Pelodiscus sinensis: one gene and its partner. The protein of the gene in region 1 binds, or shares a complex with, the protein of each later gene. Links are inferred from orthologs where the notes say so. Each region holds a gene or a part of one and is shown in the gene's direction. Other genes may lie near its edges. The genes, in order: PTAR1 and YKT6.

The links.
Region 2: the proteins of PTAR1 (region 1) and YKT6 are in contact, whole or in part, in a crystal structure (PDB 6J7F), measured with the Homo sapiens proteins. The link is inferred for Pelodiscus sinensis from reciprocal best matches to the Homo sapiens genes PTAR1 and YKT6. Residues at the interface, in NP_001093136.1 of Homo sapiens: Glu31, Gly33, Leu34, Ile35, Pro36, Val48, Val50, Glu51, Lys53, Leu54, Gly55, Ser58, Lys135, Tyr191, His225, Ser228, Met229, His230, Val231, Ser232, Asp233, Phe298, Asp301, Leu302, Ser305, Tyr306, His309; in NP_006546.1 of Homo sapiens: Met1, Ser29, Phe30, Phe31, Asn83, Glu84, Pro86, Gln131, Asn132, Pro133, Arg134, Gln180, Phe184, Arg189, Ser193.

What each region holds. Positions count from the first base shown.
Region 1 is NC_134716.1:32,582,401-32,590,599, reverse strand, and holds the start of PTAR1 (protein prenyltransferase alpha subunit repeat-containing protein 1), read left to right. Parts: upstream 1-4,369; 5' UTR 4,370-4,416; coding exon 4,417-4,502; intron 4,503-8,199. Other genes in the region: uncharacterized protein LOC102457766, read right to left, coding at 1,089-1,220, 1,317-1,540.
Region 2 is NC_134738.1:4,525,424-4,533,354, forward strand, and holds the start of YKT6 (synaptobrevin homolog YKT6), read left to right. Parts: upstream 1-4,606; 5' UTR 4,607-4,765; intron 4,766-5,570; 5' UTR 5,571-5,592; coding exon 5,593-5,696; intron 5,697-7,931. UniProt on the Homo sapiens protein: Vesicular soluble NSF attachment protein receptor (v-SNARE) mediating vesicle docking and fusion to a specific acceptor cellular compartment. Functions in endoplasmic reticulum to Golgi transport; as part of a SNARE complex composed of GOSR1, GOSR2 and STX5.

The sequences.
Region 1 (8,199 bases):
GCTTAATACAATCAATCCTAGTATCTTTATACCCTTAACCAAACAGTCTGACGTCAGGGCATCCAATTACAGAAATAATCAATTAAACTAGGAAAAAACAAAGCCTTATCAACAAGATGGCGGACAGGTACGAGGGAGTACCTCTCCTCTCTGAATCAGCCTAATTAACACATTCCAATAGCACATCTGTCTTCGCCTGGCGCATGGGGTGATAGAAAGTTCACTCTGGCCTACGTGCAAAGACAAAAAGCTGAAATGGTTTCTGTTATACAAGATGGCTTCTAGCTAAACATAAAATAGCTTCTACAATATTTACCTGCACCCCAGTAGGTACTAGCAATTGCAGCTCCTGTTGGTTGCAGATTGCCATTTCCAGTCAATCAGAACTGTGGGAAGAAGCATGGACCAGGATACTGCTTCCCTCAGCTCCCATTAGCTGGAAATGGCGAATAGGAACTGCAGTTGCCGTGCCTGTGGAGGCACAGGTAAATACACACCAGGGCTAATCCTGACATACCGGATCCAGCACCCAGGCAGGTCTTTGCCCACCTTTGGTGCAGAGGAATGATCACATGACAGAGTCATTTCATTGATTTTTTTTTTTTAAATTTTTACTAGGGATGTAAAATCCCGGTTAATCAGTTAGCAAGTTAAATGTTAGATTAACCTAACATTTAACTGCTTAACCGACTAACGTGAGATCCTGGTTGTGGACCACTACAGCTCTGCTGGAGCAGCCCCCAGTCCACAGGGCTCCTGTCCCCATCACTACGCTGGGGGCTGGCTACCAGATCTCAGCACTCACAAGAGCAGACCCTATCCACGGCAGAGCAGGCTCCCTGGAGACAGAGGCTGCTTCGGATGAGAGGAGCCCCTGTTCACAGCAGGCTTCCTACAGGGCTGGAGGAGTCCCCTGCTTGCAGCAAGCAGGGAGGAGCTCCATCCCCCACCGATTACCAGTTAAACGGAATCAGTAAGCATCACCCATTTAGGCTGATGCTTACTGGTTAACCTTGCACATTCCTAATTTTTACACAATTTCATGGAAAAAGCTGAGAGAAAAAAAAATTTAAAAGATTTCAAGTTACCTTTCAGTACTTGCTGTTAAAGAGGTCTCTGGCACATCCTCTTCTATGTTTAATGTTGTGTTTCCATCTACTTCCTGTATTTTTCCTTCTGATTCCTTGCACACAACATCTTGATTTTCATAACTGTCATATCTATATTAAAAAGTAAGATGAAAGAAACCAATCAGAATAAAATTCACATTTCTCTTTAGATAAACATATTTGATATATATTAGATATATTACTTACAAATCCAGTAAAAACTTGGCAACTTCAGCATGTGAGAAGACATTAAGCGTTTCCCTAAGTGACATCCATCTTCCTATTTGTTCTCTTATACATATCCTTGATTGAGCCCTTTTTCTCTCAAGACTCTTTCTCCTCCTCTTTTTTTCTGATGGGGAATATATGGTGGGTCTACCAGGTCGTCTTGGAGGTGGTGATGGTGAGGATGAAGAGGACGAAGACGACATTTCAAGCTTTTAACTAAGAAAGAAGACTAAATGTTTAATTTATTCATAACATTTAATTTTAAACATCTGGCTTGTGGAATTTACATTCAAATTCTTTCTCTATGAGAAAGAATTATTGGACACAAATCAGATATCCCAAAAGGCAATACACAAAAAACCTGTTGGAGAACACTTTAATCTACCTGAACACTCATTAATGGATCTCCAAGTCACCATGTTGTTTCAGGCCAATTCCACAAGCCAAATACACAGAGAAAGATTGGAACTTAACTTCATTTACAAGTTTAATTCTTATGCAAATGGTATGAACAAGGATATCGGCTGGCTTGCACACTACCTTCCACATCGTATGACTTAACCTACCAACCAACGGAAGTTCTAATTGTTCTTATCAGCCTGTTGTAACTATTTGAACCATCTACTCTCTGTCTCTCTCCTTTTATTTTTTTCTCCTTTCCCCTCCTTTTTTCTCTCCCCGCCCCTTTCCTTATTTATTCTTGGATCTGGACTTCTAATACTCCAGTCACCTGAAGAAGTGGGTTGTGCCCACGAAAGCTCATGACTACATGTTTTGTTAGTCTTTAAGGTGCTACTAGTCTATTTGTTGTTTTTTATGTAATGCCAATATAAGCTGTTGACACAAAATCACATAATATGTAGTCCACTAGTTTCTATCACTAAAGACCGCTGAGGCATAAATAAAAGGCACTCATTTGTTTGTATTACATCTCAATAAAATGTTTCATATTTTCCAAGTTACGAAAAAAATAGGAATATGAACTTTACTGTCAAACATTAGAAAACAAACAGAAAGCTTACAAAAAGAATTTGATATCTATTTGGTATCCAAAGTAAGATTTTTAAGTGACCGATTTATCAAGCTCAGTGGTTCTCAAATTGGGTGCACTGCAACACCCTTTTGACAACAAAAATTACTACATGACCCCAGAAGAGGCAACCAAAACCTGATCCTGACTGCACCCCATTGCCCAGCCAAAGCCAAGCCTGATCCCACTGCCCTGGGCAGAGGGAACATAAGAATGGCCATACTGGGTCAAACCAAAGGCCCACATAGAATAAAACAGGGAATTATCAAGTAATCCTTTTCCTGTCATCCATTTCCAGCCTCTGAAAAACAGAGATTAGGGCAGGGCTGGCCTTACCATGAGGCGAACTGAGGAGGCCACCTCAGGTGCCAGACTTTGCAGGAGGAGGGGGGGAAGGGCGCCACTAAGACCCAGAGTGTAGAAAATTGTATCTGCTGCTGGTGCATATGTATTCTCTCTGCTCTAGATGCACAGAGATGGTGGAGTGCTGCGATGGAGGAAGGAGGGCACAAGAGACATAACAGACAGGCAGGAGAAAAAGTGGCATGGGGCATCATTTGAGCTCCCTGCCTCAGGTGCCAAAATGTTGTGGGCTGGCCCTGGATTAGGGTCACCATTCCTACCCATCGTGGCTGATCAGTATTGCTGGACCTAACCTCCATGAAATTATCTAGCTCTTTTTTGAACCCTGTTAAAGTTCTGGTCTTCACAACATCTTCTAGCAAGCAGTTCCATGGGTTGACTGTGAGATGTGCAGAAATACTTCCTTTTGCTTGTTTTAACCCTATTAATTTCATTTGGTAACCCCTAATTCTTGAAGACATTGTGCAGGTCCTTCGTCATCTGCTACACCAGCACTGCCACCTCCCTTGGGGCTAAAGAACTTTCAGTCTTGGGCAGTGGGAGTAGGCTTTGGTCCCAGCAAGTCTCAGGCCAGCCCCAGTGACCCATTTAAAACAGGGTGGCAATCCACTTTGAAGTCCAGCCCACAGTTTGAGACCAGCTGTTTATTTAAAAGACTTCTCAAATATAACCATAATCAGGGACAACATTTGAAGTCAACAAAGTTGACAGACCAGCCAAGTTATATTTTGAACCAATTGTAAGGACTTTTTTAAAGGGGGGGGGGGTCTCATCTCTCTTTAGGGAGGAGGATATTCTCTGATGGTATACTCAGAGGATATTCTCTGATGCCATGCATCTGATGAAGTGGGTCTTTGCCCACGAAAGCTTATGCTCCTACACTTCAGTTAGTCTATAAGGTGCCACAGGACTCTTCGTCGCTTTTGCAGATTCAGACTAACACGGCTACCCCTCTGATATCTGATGGTATAAGATTCCCCTTAAATCTCCTTTAAGCAGCATGGGAAAGAAGACCCCAAATCACAAGCCTGTGTGTCAATTAATTAAGCAAGCAAGCATGTATTATTACAAGAAGCAGAAGCTCTGCAAACGCTTATGCCTGTGCTCCTTAACGTCACCCACAAGACTCAGAGGAGTAGCCGGGGTCGTCCACATCACTTCACCCACCAGAGTTATCCCAGTGGCTTAAATGGGACTACTCATGTTTGCAGCAATAACCCCGTGAGAGTTTGCAGAGCAGGGGCCGCAGGCTGCGCCGCCTCCCTCCATCGGGGAGACACAGGGGACTTGGGTTTTAATTGTCATTCCCGGCCCTGCCCGCGCCGAGCCGCCACATGCTCTGCCTAGGGCTGGTGCAAGGGCGAGCTCCACGCCAGCCACAGCCCGGGGTGGGGGGAGGCCCCAGGGGCCCAGGCACAGGGCGGTTGGCGGAAGAACCCAGCCCAGTTGCTCCGAGTGCGGCCGTTGGCGCGCGCAGGGCAGAAGGGCGGAGCTGGGGCACCGCGCCCGGTTACCTGGCTGAGTGCGGCGCGTCCGCCTGTCCCGCTGCCGCCCGGGTTCCGCCGCCGCTTGCCCCGCTGTGGGTGGGCGGGCCGGGGTGAGCCGCCGTTGCCAGGGAGCGGCTCGTCCCTCCGCCGACCCGGAAGCGCTTTAGCCCAGCCTGGCTCAGCGGCGCGGCGGCCGAAGATGGCCGAGTCCCCGGAGGAGGTGGCGGTGCTGGTGCAGCGGGTGGTGAAGGACCTGCACAACGCCTTCAAGCGGAACCCCCACATGTGAGTGCGGCGGGCGGGCGGGTTGGCCGGGCGGCGGCTGACGCGGCCCAGCTCCGGCGGGGCCAGGCGGAGACCCCGGCGCCGACTTGGTCTCCGCTCGTCCCGTCCGGGGCAAGGCAGCATCCTCATCACTGGGGCCGCTGCTGCCCTGGCTGGGGACGGCGACTGGCCCCTCTCGCCAGCCCCGCGGCCGGGAGTAGGACAAGCACCCTCCGGCGCAACCAGCCCGCGAGACTTTCCCTTCTCCAGCATCTCTGCGAGCGCTTCACAGACACCCCCCCCCCCCCCCCTGCTAACGCCCGGCCTCCGGGAGGTGACCAGGCATGGCAGCTGCGGGAAGTGGGCTCCGGGAGCCCTCCTCTCTCGACTGTCTCGCCCAAGGTCGCACACAGGAAGTCAGCTGTGGCTGGCCTCTGGCTCTGTGAGCTCCCCTAGGCGCTGGGCCTGAATTGGGTTAACTTCTTTCGCAGGTATCAGAAGTGAGGTGGGCAAGAGGGACACTAGTTTTGATTCTGTTGGCGTTCCTAAACTCAAAACCACTCTCAATACTGTGAATAACTGTGAATCTCATTTCTGCCCCTCTATGCTTTTTGGCTTTTGTTTATCTGATTGCTCACCTTGAATAGGAGAGAATCATGGCACCAGCCCCCAGCAGAGCATGTGGCCGCTTGAAGAGGGGAGGACAGAAGATGATGATTAAAAACCAAATCTGTATCCTCCGATGGAGAGATGCGGCGCAGCCTGCAGCCCTTGCTCTGCAAACATTTTTGTGGCACTTGCATCCCATGATGCTAAACACAATACAAAAATCATAGCTCTTCCTATTGTTGTTTTTTAATCTCTTTGATTTGGCAAAATCTAGTGGATTATGTCACCTGGGTACTGCATATTGTAGTGCAATGTGTGTGTATTTGTGTACTAAGGAAAAAACAGGCTTCAAGTGTATTTTTGGTAAATGAATGGAAACGTTCCTTTCAATATTAAAGAAATCTAAATTTTGAAATAACAGTGCCTTCTTAAGGCCCCAGTGGACTCTACATGGCTCAGAGGTCTGTCCCTAGCATTTATAGAAGGGATGTAAAATCCTGTTTAATTGGTTAACCCGTTAAACAATGTTTAAGCAGTTAACTGATTAAATGGGGTGTGAGCAGGGAGCTGTTCTGGGCCAGAACCGCCCTCCATCCCTCACCTGTTAACCTTAACTTGTAAGCCTCACCTGTTAAACCTTTCACATCCCTAGTTAATACAGGAATTGGGACAGAAAAGTTCTGTGTAGCTCAAAAGCTAGACTCTTCTGCCAACATAAAGTGGTTCAGTAAATGATGCTACCTCACGCTCCTTGTCTCTTCAATTTCCTGGGAACTATCACAGCTACAATACCTCTCTTCTATGTGACAGAAATCCTTAGGATTACATAAATGTGGCTAGCAGTTTGGCAGGTAGCCAAACTTTAAACTACAACATATGGATATAGTCAGAAAGAAGCCTTTTTAAAATTAGATTTAGCCATAAAATTTCCCTTTAGGGTTACGAGGCATAATACACTGTAAACAGTAAATGTCTGTGTGTGACCTGTAGAAAGACTTCTGCTTCTTTTCACATTCTGTTCTGTCAAAGTTCCCTTTAATTTCAGTGGTAGCGGACTCAACCACTTATTCACTAAGAATGTGTGGCTGTTGCCATCTTCCTTCATGGAAAAAATAGGTTAGATGTAAAAGTCTGTGTGCTTTTGAGACTGACCTACCATAGTGTGCTTGTGTAGGCCCTGCAGGTCAAGTTAGATAGCTATTGGTAGTGCAGTGCAAGAAAGCTGCTGCTGCTGTTACAGCTGTTCTGTGGATAATCAAGAGACTTCTGTGTCCAATAGTGATAGAAATGTATCCGTGTTAGTCTGGTGTAGCTGAAACAAAATACAGGACTATGTAGCACTTGAAAGACTAACAAGATGGTTTATTAGATGATGATGTCCAAGATTGTCAAGCTGTGCTCCTTAAGATGAACATGGGCATATGGCTGATGTGCTTTGCAGATTCCCCACTGTGTTTCTCTTCTGCAGTGAGGAGATGACCCTGGCATATGCCTACCTTCAATCTGCTAAGTTGCAGCACCTTTTCTGACTCCTCCAGAATTTCCTTCTGAGATTCTGGCTGCAGTTTTCTTCATCCTTGTATACTCCATCCATGACCCCACCAAGTCATAAGACCTCCCTTTTAGCCTTGGCACTGTCCAAGATAAGACCCGATTAATGGATGGCTGATGCTAAACAGGGTGATCAGAGACTCTGGGTTTTTTTCTTTCTTTCCATGCCCTTTTCACACATTCAGAGTTCCTTTGGGCACTGTCCACCATTGTCCTTCAAAAGTATATCCATCTGGTCCCTTGTTTAGAACTTTTGATCCTTACACATTTGCATGGATGGGCCCTTCGTTCTGGGTGGGCCAACACCCACCCCTAAGAGAATTCAGGTAAGGTTATTGGGCACTATGCTCACAGAAATACAACAACAAGTAAAAGTCTAGGCTGGGTTGTTGTCTTTCATGTTGCATTTAAATTAATTCAAAGGGGATATTAGTATTTTATTTTATTTTTTTAGAAAAACATTTATTTATTTTGTAAATAAAAATCTAACCTAAGACTCATGTTCACTTGTCCTGCTGAGTCACATTTCAGTAAAGAAAATGAAGCTGTCTCAGCATACTGTGTCCTGTTTTTGAATATCTATAAAACTTGTAAAATTTATTGCAAAATATTTTTCTCACCAGACACATGAACACTTAAATTTGTGTATAATATGACTCAAGCCTAATGGGGTTGCATTAGCAAAATTATGCAAACACATAAGTGTTTGCAAGACTGGGGCCTTAGCTGTTACAAACAGACACCCTGTCTAGTTCAGCAAGCTTGCTGATGTCGAGTGAAGAGGAATACCTTTTCTGTGCCAGAGAGTTGAGCACTATCCTTGTCCTAATTCTACTTACCTGTTTTGGTTTTGTGAATATGATGTTAAACAAATCTTGAGCACTTTTTTCTAGGCAAAATTCATTTGCAGTATTTGGCTTGTGGTCATGCACTGGATGGGGATAAAGGAAATCTGTGGCTTTGCCACAGACTGCTTATGCGACCTCCATTAACTCAGTTACTTTGTCTGAGTTCCCCACCGATTAAATGGTAAAGTAATGGGTTTTTTTGCTTGTCTTGTCTAGTTTAATTCAAATTTGAAGGTTGGAAGGGACTGCAAGGATCAGCTAGTCTAACCCCCTACCAATATGCAGAATGTATTGTGTTTTTTAATCAGAGGTCTTCACTCAGTGGGATATGCCTCCATAGGGGAGCAAAGAGTATCATTTGGGGAGGTGAGGCTGAGACCCAGACCAGCCCCTATAGGGAGTGGGCCAAGAGCGTTGCCACACTCCTGGCTCGGGCCTCAGATATGTCTTTGCATCTGGGGTCCTGCCAGCTGCGGCTGCGGCTGGCCTCAGCTCCCAGCCTCAATTCCCTTCTCCCTGTCTTCATCCTCCCTCCTGGAGCTGCAGCCTGGCTTTGTGGTGGAAGGGGGCATGCACAGGATAAGAGGGGTGCAAGATAAAAAGTTTGGGGATCACTGGTCTAAACCATCCAAGGCAGATGGTAATCTAGCCTCCTTTTGAAATTCTCCAGTGAAGAAGCTTCCACAAGCTCCTGAAGCAATCTGCTCCAT
Region 2 (7,931 bases), on another chromosome or scaffold:
GGGGGCAGCGGGGCTGTCCGGCGGAGATCGGGGCGGGCGGGCAGTGGAAGCAGGGCTGGACGGGGGACAGGGTGGCTGGCCAGGGGAGATCGGGAGGAGGACTGTAGAACCAGCCACCGGAAGCAGGGCTGGACAGGGGCAGCGGGGCTAGTTCAGGAGGAGAAACTGGCGGGGGGGGGGGGGGGGGAGCAAATCAGCTGGCGGGAAGCGGGACTGAACCGGGCACATGCAGACCTGGGCACACGAGTGAGTCCGGCCCCGGGGATTCCATTTTGCCCCCTTCCCCACCATACCCTCCCTCGAGAAGCTGTGAACTGCCTGGCTGGCAGACACACTCGCAGCATGAGCACATCTACCAGCCAGGCAATTCGCAGCTACGGACTGATACACCTAATAATAATAAAACTTACCTAATTAGAAAATACAGGACATTTTATATGTCTGGTATTTTCTCAATTTGTTTCCCAGACAGAAGCCTCAAATACCGGATTGTCTGGTACAAAACTGGACACTTGGCAACCCTACCCCTCCTTGCACCCTCCCTCCTAGCCAGATACCCTACCCCCAATCTGCTCCTGCCCCCGCCTCCTGGAGTGCCCATGTGGCACCAGGTCCCCCAGGCCCTGGCCCAGGCTGGGCGGAGGATGCAGCTGGGTGAAACACTGAAAATGTATTCATTTTTCATTCTTTTTATATGCGTTTATATTATTGGGCTGCAAAAAACAGTACTGAAAAACAATGGGTTCCAACTAAAGTAAAAAGTTTGGGAAACTCTGGTCTAGCCAGCTTTCTATCCATCTCACAGTCCATTTATCCAATCCATATTCCCTTAACTTGCTGGCAAGAATATTGTGGGTGACTGTATCAAAAGCTTTGCTAAAGCTGGCACTGGGGGCTTTGGGAGGACCAGAAACCACTTATTTGAATATTCACCATTACTTAATGAATATGCAAGTATGCAAATGAATGTTATCGGTCCTCCAAAAGCTTGTGAATGGATTTACTGGTCCCCATGTCAAAAAGTTTGGGAACCCCTGTTCGAGACCATTAATCATTTTCAGTGGGGTAGCCATGTTAGTCTGTTTCAGCAAAAACAATGAGTGACACCTTAGAGACTCAGTTTCATTTGGGCAAAAGCTTTTTCTGGGCTGGGGCCCACTTTGCCAATGCAGCATTACTAATTTTTGTTGCTCTTTTCTGGACATTCCCCAATTTGATCACAACTTGTCTGAAATGTGGCATCCAGAATGGGACAGGATGCGCCAGTTAACGCCTACTTAGCACATAATGGAGCGGAACAATTACCTCTTGCGCCTTGTTTACAACACTCCTGCTAATACATCCCAGAATGATTGTGTGGCAGCAGTGTTACACTGCTGACATCTAGCTTGTTATCTCTTCCCCGTGCTCCTTCCTGGGCAGCCACTTCCCATTCTGCGTGTGTGCAGATCGCGGCTCCTTCCTAAGTGGCGTGCTTTGCATTTGTCCTTATTGAATGTCCTCCAATTGACTTCAGCTCACGTCTCCAATTTGTCCAAATCGTTTTGAATTTTAACCCTGTCCGCCAAAGCACCTGCAACCCCTCCCAGCTTGGTATCGTCCACAAACTGGGTTAAGTGCAGTCTCTTTGCCATTCTCTGAATCAGGGGTGGCTCTTCAGAAGTTAATATGCGGCTCCTTGCATAGGTACCAAATCCAGGGCTGGAGCTACAGGTGCCAACTTTCCACTGGGCCAGGAGGGTCCTCACTGCCCAACCCCCAGCTCTGCCCAAGGCCCTTCCCTTAGGATCCTGCCACTTCCCACCCTCTCCACCGAGCCTGTCACACCCACCGAGCCTGCTTCCCCCTCCAGTGTCTCCCACCGAGACAGAGCTGATCCCAGTGGGCGGGAGGAAAAGGAGGAGGCAGCACTGACCCGTGGGGCTGCTGGTGGGCTGGATGTGCTGCGGGTGGTGGTGGGGAGATGAGCAGGGCTGGTGACATGCTGCTGTTGCTCTTTGGCAAGGTGCATTGGCCAATTCTGGCTCCTTCTCAGATTTAGGTCGGCCACCCCTGCTCTAATCATTGATGAAGGCGCTGCACAGAACTGGACCCAGCACTGATCATTGTGGGACCAGCCTTTCCACCTTGGCTGTTAACCTCCCTTGCTGTAACTCCCCTCCTGGTTGGGTCTTAACAGCTTCTTGTAACTATCTGAACTATCTACTCATTGTCTCTTTTCTTCTTCCTCTCCTCCCCTTTTTCCTTCTTCCCACTCCCTCCCTCCTTTCCTTATTTATTCTTGGATCTGGACTTACTATACTCCAGTCAACTGAAGAAATAGGTTTTGCCCATGAAAGCTCATGATACCATCAACACGTTTTGTTAGACTTTAAGGTGCTACTAGACTCTTTGTTGTTTTTTAAGTTTTTTCGGGAAATAGTTTTCCAGCTAGTTCTGCACTCACCTTATAGTAGCTAAGGCAAGATTGGATTTCCCTAGTTTGCTTATGAGGCCGTGTGAAAGATTATCAAAAGCTTTACTTAAGTCAAGATGTGCCACAGCTATCATTCCCCCATCACAAGGCTGGTTACTCTGTCAAAGCAAGCTACTACGTTGGTTTGACATGGTTTGTTCATTATAAATCCATGCGGTTACTTATCACCTTATTATCTTTCAGATGTCTGCAACTTGAGGGCTTTATTGTTTACTCAGTAGCGATCTGGAATTCCCTGTGTTGGCCGTCTTCCCTTTTTTACAGAGGGGTGCTATTTTTGTCGTTTTCAGTCCTGGAATTTCACCTGTCTTTCATGAGCTTTTGAAGATAACTGCTAATGGCTCAGATATCTCCTGATGTATTTCATCAGGCCCTGGTGACTTGAAATCGTCTAACTTATCTATGCAATATCTAACATTTTCTCCCTATTTTAGCCCTGATCCTACTTAATTTTCATTGACATTAAGATAGATGTTCAATTGCTACTAAACATTTTGTTCTTCCTACCCCATTGAGTAAGGGACATAATCTGTCCTTGGCCTCCCTCTTACTTCTAATGTATTTGTAGACTGGTCTCTTTACATTTCTGACTAGTTTAATCTTGCTTAGTGCCTTGGCCTTTCACCCTTATATATATGTGTTATTTGCTTATATTCATCCTTTTTCATGTGACCTGGTTTCTACTTTTGTATGACTCTTTTCTGAGTTTCAGATCATTGAAGATCTCCTGGTTAAGCCAGGGTGGCCTCTTGCCACACTGCACTTATCAGTCCTACACAGTTTGCTCCCATGCCCTTAATAACATCTCTGAAAAACTGTCAACTCTCCTGAACAGCTTTTCCCCTTAGATTGCCTTCCCGTGGGATCCTGAACTATAGGTGCTGACCCCATAAAGCAGGGCCCATGCTGATGCATTGGTGCTTGCTAGTAGGGCCGATTCCCATGTAGCAGGGCCAACCCTGGCATGCTGATGCTCACTAGGGATGTAAAGGGGTAATTGATTACCGGGTAAGCATTGCCTTCCCCGTGTGCTTACCAGGGTAATGGATTAACTGGCACCCGGCCTGGCTGGAACAGCTTCCTCCCGCAGCAAACCACGGGCAATTTAACCAATTAAATATTATACATTTAACCAGTTAACATTTTAAACAGGATTTTCCATCCCTAATGCTCACCCTGGTAAGGCAGGGCGGACTCCAGGTTAGTGGTGCTCACCCCATAGGGGGCATACCTTAACTCTACCACACAGGCTCGGGCGCCTGCACACCTGATCACCTACCCCGGGGGGGCACCGCATGTGTACAAAATCTGGGAGCGAGCCAGGCCTCTGGCTGCAAAGAAAGAGAATGTACGTGTATGTGTGCGCACGCTGGGTCAGCTCCCCAGAATCTGCCTCATTCCCTGGGGAACTGCCCCACCCCCTGGGGGACTGCCCCCCCCCCCCGGAACTGCCTCCCCAACCTGCCCCGCCCCCTGGAGAACTGCCCCCCCCCCCGGAACTGCCTCCCCAACCTGCCCCGCCCCCTGGGGAACTGCCCCGCCCCCTGAACCTGCCCCACCCCCTGGGAGACTGCCCCCCCCGGGGAACGGCCCCCCCAACCTGCCCCGCCCCCTGGGGAACGGCCCCCCCAAACCTGCCCCGCCCCCTGGGGAACGGCCCCCCAGAAGCTGCCCCGCCCCTGGGGAACTGCCCCGCCCCCTGAACCTGCCCCGCCCCCTGGGGAACGGCCCCCCCCAAACCTGCCCCGCCCCCTGGGGAACGGCCCCCCAGAAGCTGCCCCGCCCCCTGAACCTGCCCCGCCCCCTGGGGAACGTCCTCCCGAACCTGCCCCGCCCCCTGGGGAACGGCCCCCCCCAGAAGCTGCCCCGCCCCCTGGGGAACGGCCCCCCAGAAGCTGCCCCGCCCCCTGGGGAACGGCCTCCCGAACCTGCCCCGCCCCCTGGGGAACGGCCCCCCCCAGAAGCTGCCCCGCCCCCTGGGGAATGGCCCCCCCCGACCCGGCCCGGGGAGGTGGGGTGGAGGAGAGGCCCCTGTCAGGGCGATGCTGATTGGCTGTCCGGCCCGTGGGGGCGGTGCGAAACGGCCCTGTCAGGCGGACGCTCAGTGGCTGGGTCCCGGAGCAGGCGAGCGCATGCGCAGTGCCACAGCGCCCCGTGGCACCGATCCGCAGCGGGGACTTCCGGCCGCTGCGTTTTGTTTCCGGGTCGGCGGCTCCTTCCAACCGGCGCCGCCCGCCCCGTCAGTCTTCGCAACCGCCGCAGCCGCAGGAGGGAGGCGGGACCCGCTCGGTAACCGGCCTCCCCCCTCCCCCCGTTCGCGCGAACGAGCGCTGAGGCGGCCGCGGGGGGGGGCGGTTGGGGAGCTGTCTGGGGGGAGGGGTGGGAACGAGGGAGTTGTGCCGGGGGGGCGGTTGGGGAGCTGTCTGGAGGGAGGGGTGGGAACGAGGGAGTTGCGCGGGGGGGGCGGTTGGGAGCTGTCTGGGGGAGGGGTGGGAACGAGGGAGTTGTGCGGGGGGGGCGGTTGGGAGCTATCTGGGGAGGGGTGGGAACGAGGGAGTTGCGGGGGGGCGGCGGTTGGGAGCTGTCTGGGGGGAGGGGTGGGAACGAGGGAGTTGCGCGGGGAGGGCGGTTGGGAGCTGTCTGGGGGAGGGGTGGGAACGAGGGAGTTGCGCGGGGGGGCGGTTGGGAGCTGTCTGGGGGAGGGGTGGGAACGAGGGAGTTGCGCGGGGGGGGGCGGTTGGGAGCTGTCTGGGGGAGGGGTGGGAACGAGGGAGTTGCGCGGGGGGGGCGGTTGGGAGCTGTCTGGGGGAGGGTTGGGAACGAGGGAGTTGCGCGGGGGGGGCGGTTGGGAGCTGTCTGGGGGAGGGGTGGGAACGAGGGAGTTGTGTGGGGGGGTGGCTCTGCAGGGGGAAGGGAATGCGGGGGGGGGGGGAGGCTGTGCGGGGGGAGGGGCTGCAGCCCAGCCCTGTTCTCTTGTGGGCAGAGGGAGCGATGGGGCTGGGGGGGGGTTCGGGCAGGGGCTGGGGAGGTGGAAGGAGGGGTCGGATCTTGTCTCTTGTCCCAGCCCTGACTCCTTCCTGCCCCTCTCGCTCAGGCGGCGGCTGGGAGGCGCCAGGATGAAGCTTTACAGCCTAAGTGTCCTTTACAAAGGCGACCCCAAAGTGCACTTGCTGAAAGCCGCCTACGACCTGTCCTCATTCAGCTTCTTCCAGAAAACCAGGTGGGTCCCTGGGGTGTTGGCACCGGCCTGGGGGATTCCATCCCCTGCCTGGGACAAACAGCACAATAAGGGCGGCCTGGGCTTGGTGGGCTGGTTTGGGAGACAAGGATTCAACTCCCTGCTCTGCCACAGATTGACCCCAGGCAAGTCCCTTAGGTGGATTCACAAAGGTCTTGGTTGCCTAAATCTCAGTTTTGGTTTCACTGACTGGGGACAAACAAGCAAATGAACATCTATCTTGAGTACAGGAACCAATCTAGTAAGCATACTCAGAGTCTGCCTATTATATTAGATCCCATTCAAAATCCCACCCACCTGAAAAGAGGAGGAGGTGATCTTCATATCACCCACCTTATACAATTGGCCCAGTGGTCAGAGCACTCGAGGTTTGGGAGTCCTGATTTCAGTCCCCTCTGTCAGATGAAGAAAAGGGATTTGAACAGAGGCTTCCCTCTTCTTAGGAGGGTGCTATAATCGCTGAGCTGGGCTGCTGTGGAGCTCCCTCAGGCCTTCTGGTTGAGACAGCTGTTTTTCTGTGGCTAAATAGTGAAAGAGCGATTGGAGCAGGGGATCTGCATCCCAGATTTCTTGCCTCCCCAGTGGTTGTTCTAAGCATTGAGATGCGAAGAGTCTCTTTTTCTCACCCAATGGCTAATTAAGTATTTATAAGGTATTCTGGTGTACAAATACTACAGTAATGGGGCCCATAGAAGTACCTAAGATGGGTAGAATAAAGCCTCATTGAATTTTCAGTCCTGTAATACAGCTTTCCAGCATCCGAGTGACCTTTTAACTTAAATAAATAAGATAAATATTATCACAGCAAAAGATCTGGGAATAGATCCGTGCCTGAGCTGGAACTTTTGTAAGGCTGGTGTAGTGAGTTATACAAAACAAGAGATTGTGTATTTATGTGTACTGAAATCCATACAGTAGATGATGTGAAAAGATCTGTTAGGCATGCAAGCATCTCAGCTCATGCAGAGACCTGAAAAACAAATAGGAGATGACTTGTGGGTTTTGCTTTACCAATCCAGCTAGGTTTCTGTGACAGCTGTAGTGATCCATGTATTTGTATTTAGCAATAGTATCTTCCCACTTGTGATAACATACTATGCCTGGTATGTCCCCTTTGCTTAGGGTGAGTGGTTGTGCAGAGAATGCTGCTGACAGGTCAGGCCAGAGTGTACAAAGCTAAATGCTAATCTCAGCTTCTTGTCATCCTGGTGAGTCACAGCTCTCTCAGTGCTAAGGTGTGATCTGTGCTTGCAGAAGAGTTGCCCACATAGTCCTTACATCAGTTAGCCTTGCCGCACTACGAGCACAGCCCCCTAACCATTAAGATGGGGTAATACCCATAAAGCTTTTAGAAAGAAGTAGTTGTATTAGCAAGTGCCTAACTGCAATACAACTTCCCTTCTACCCTCCTGGTTTCAAAGGCTCATGATTTTAAGAAATATTTGCCTTCTGCACTGAAATGTTCCATGCTTGCTGTGCGTCCAACAGTGACTTTTAAAGCATTAGTAAATGTTCTTCTCTGTCATTCTGATGTGTGTATGAGGGAGGGGTCGGGGTCAGGGAAATACCACAATTAGAGATTTTTACTTCCTTTGCCAAGGTTACAGCAAAAATAGGTGAGTTTTGAAGCTTAGCTATTGCTTGCCACTTACACTGCTGGGGCTTTCACTTGATGGTTGATTGTCCTAGGGGACTTTTTTAAAAGATAAGCATGAAACAAACATACTTCTGTGCACCTGCTATATTTTTTACCTATGCCCATTTCCCTGTTTTGTATGAGCAGAAGGCCTGCATGTATGAGAGCTGATGCTGGGCCAGTCTGCACAAGGGGAAACTACAGTTAGCTAACTGAAATAAAGTTGTTAAAGCAATTTTACAAAAAGACTTTAACATCAGAAATGAAAGAAAATCACAGGTGCAGGAAAATGTCACAGATCATACAATTGGTCCGTAATTATTACTGCATTCTACATCAGGCTGCTTATCAGAATTTAAAGAAAATTAGTTTCTTCTTATTTTCAAAAAATACAGTCGCCTCAGTATAAATTGATCAACACTAGTAGAATCCCCGGCAGGAAGTCATGCTTTTATCTCCCCTAGTTCTGACCTATTCAGGTAAAGAGGTGGCTCAAACTACAGGCAGTTTTCTCTTACTCATTTAATAAAACCTCAGTGGGGGAGAATGATTTCCCTACCATCATTAACTTGACTGCGTTG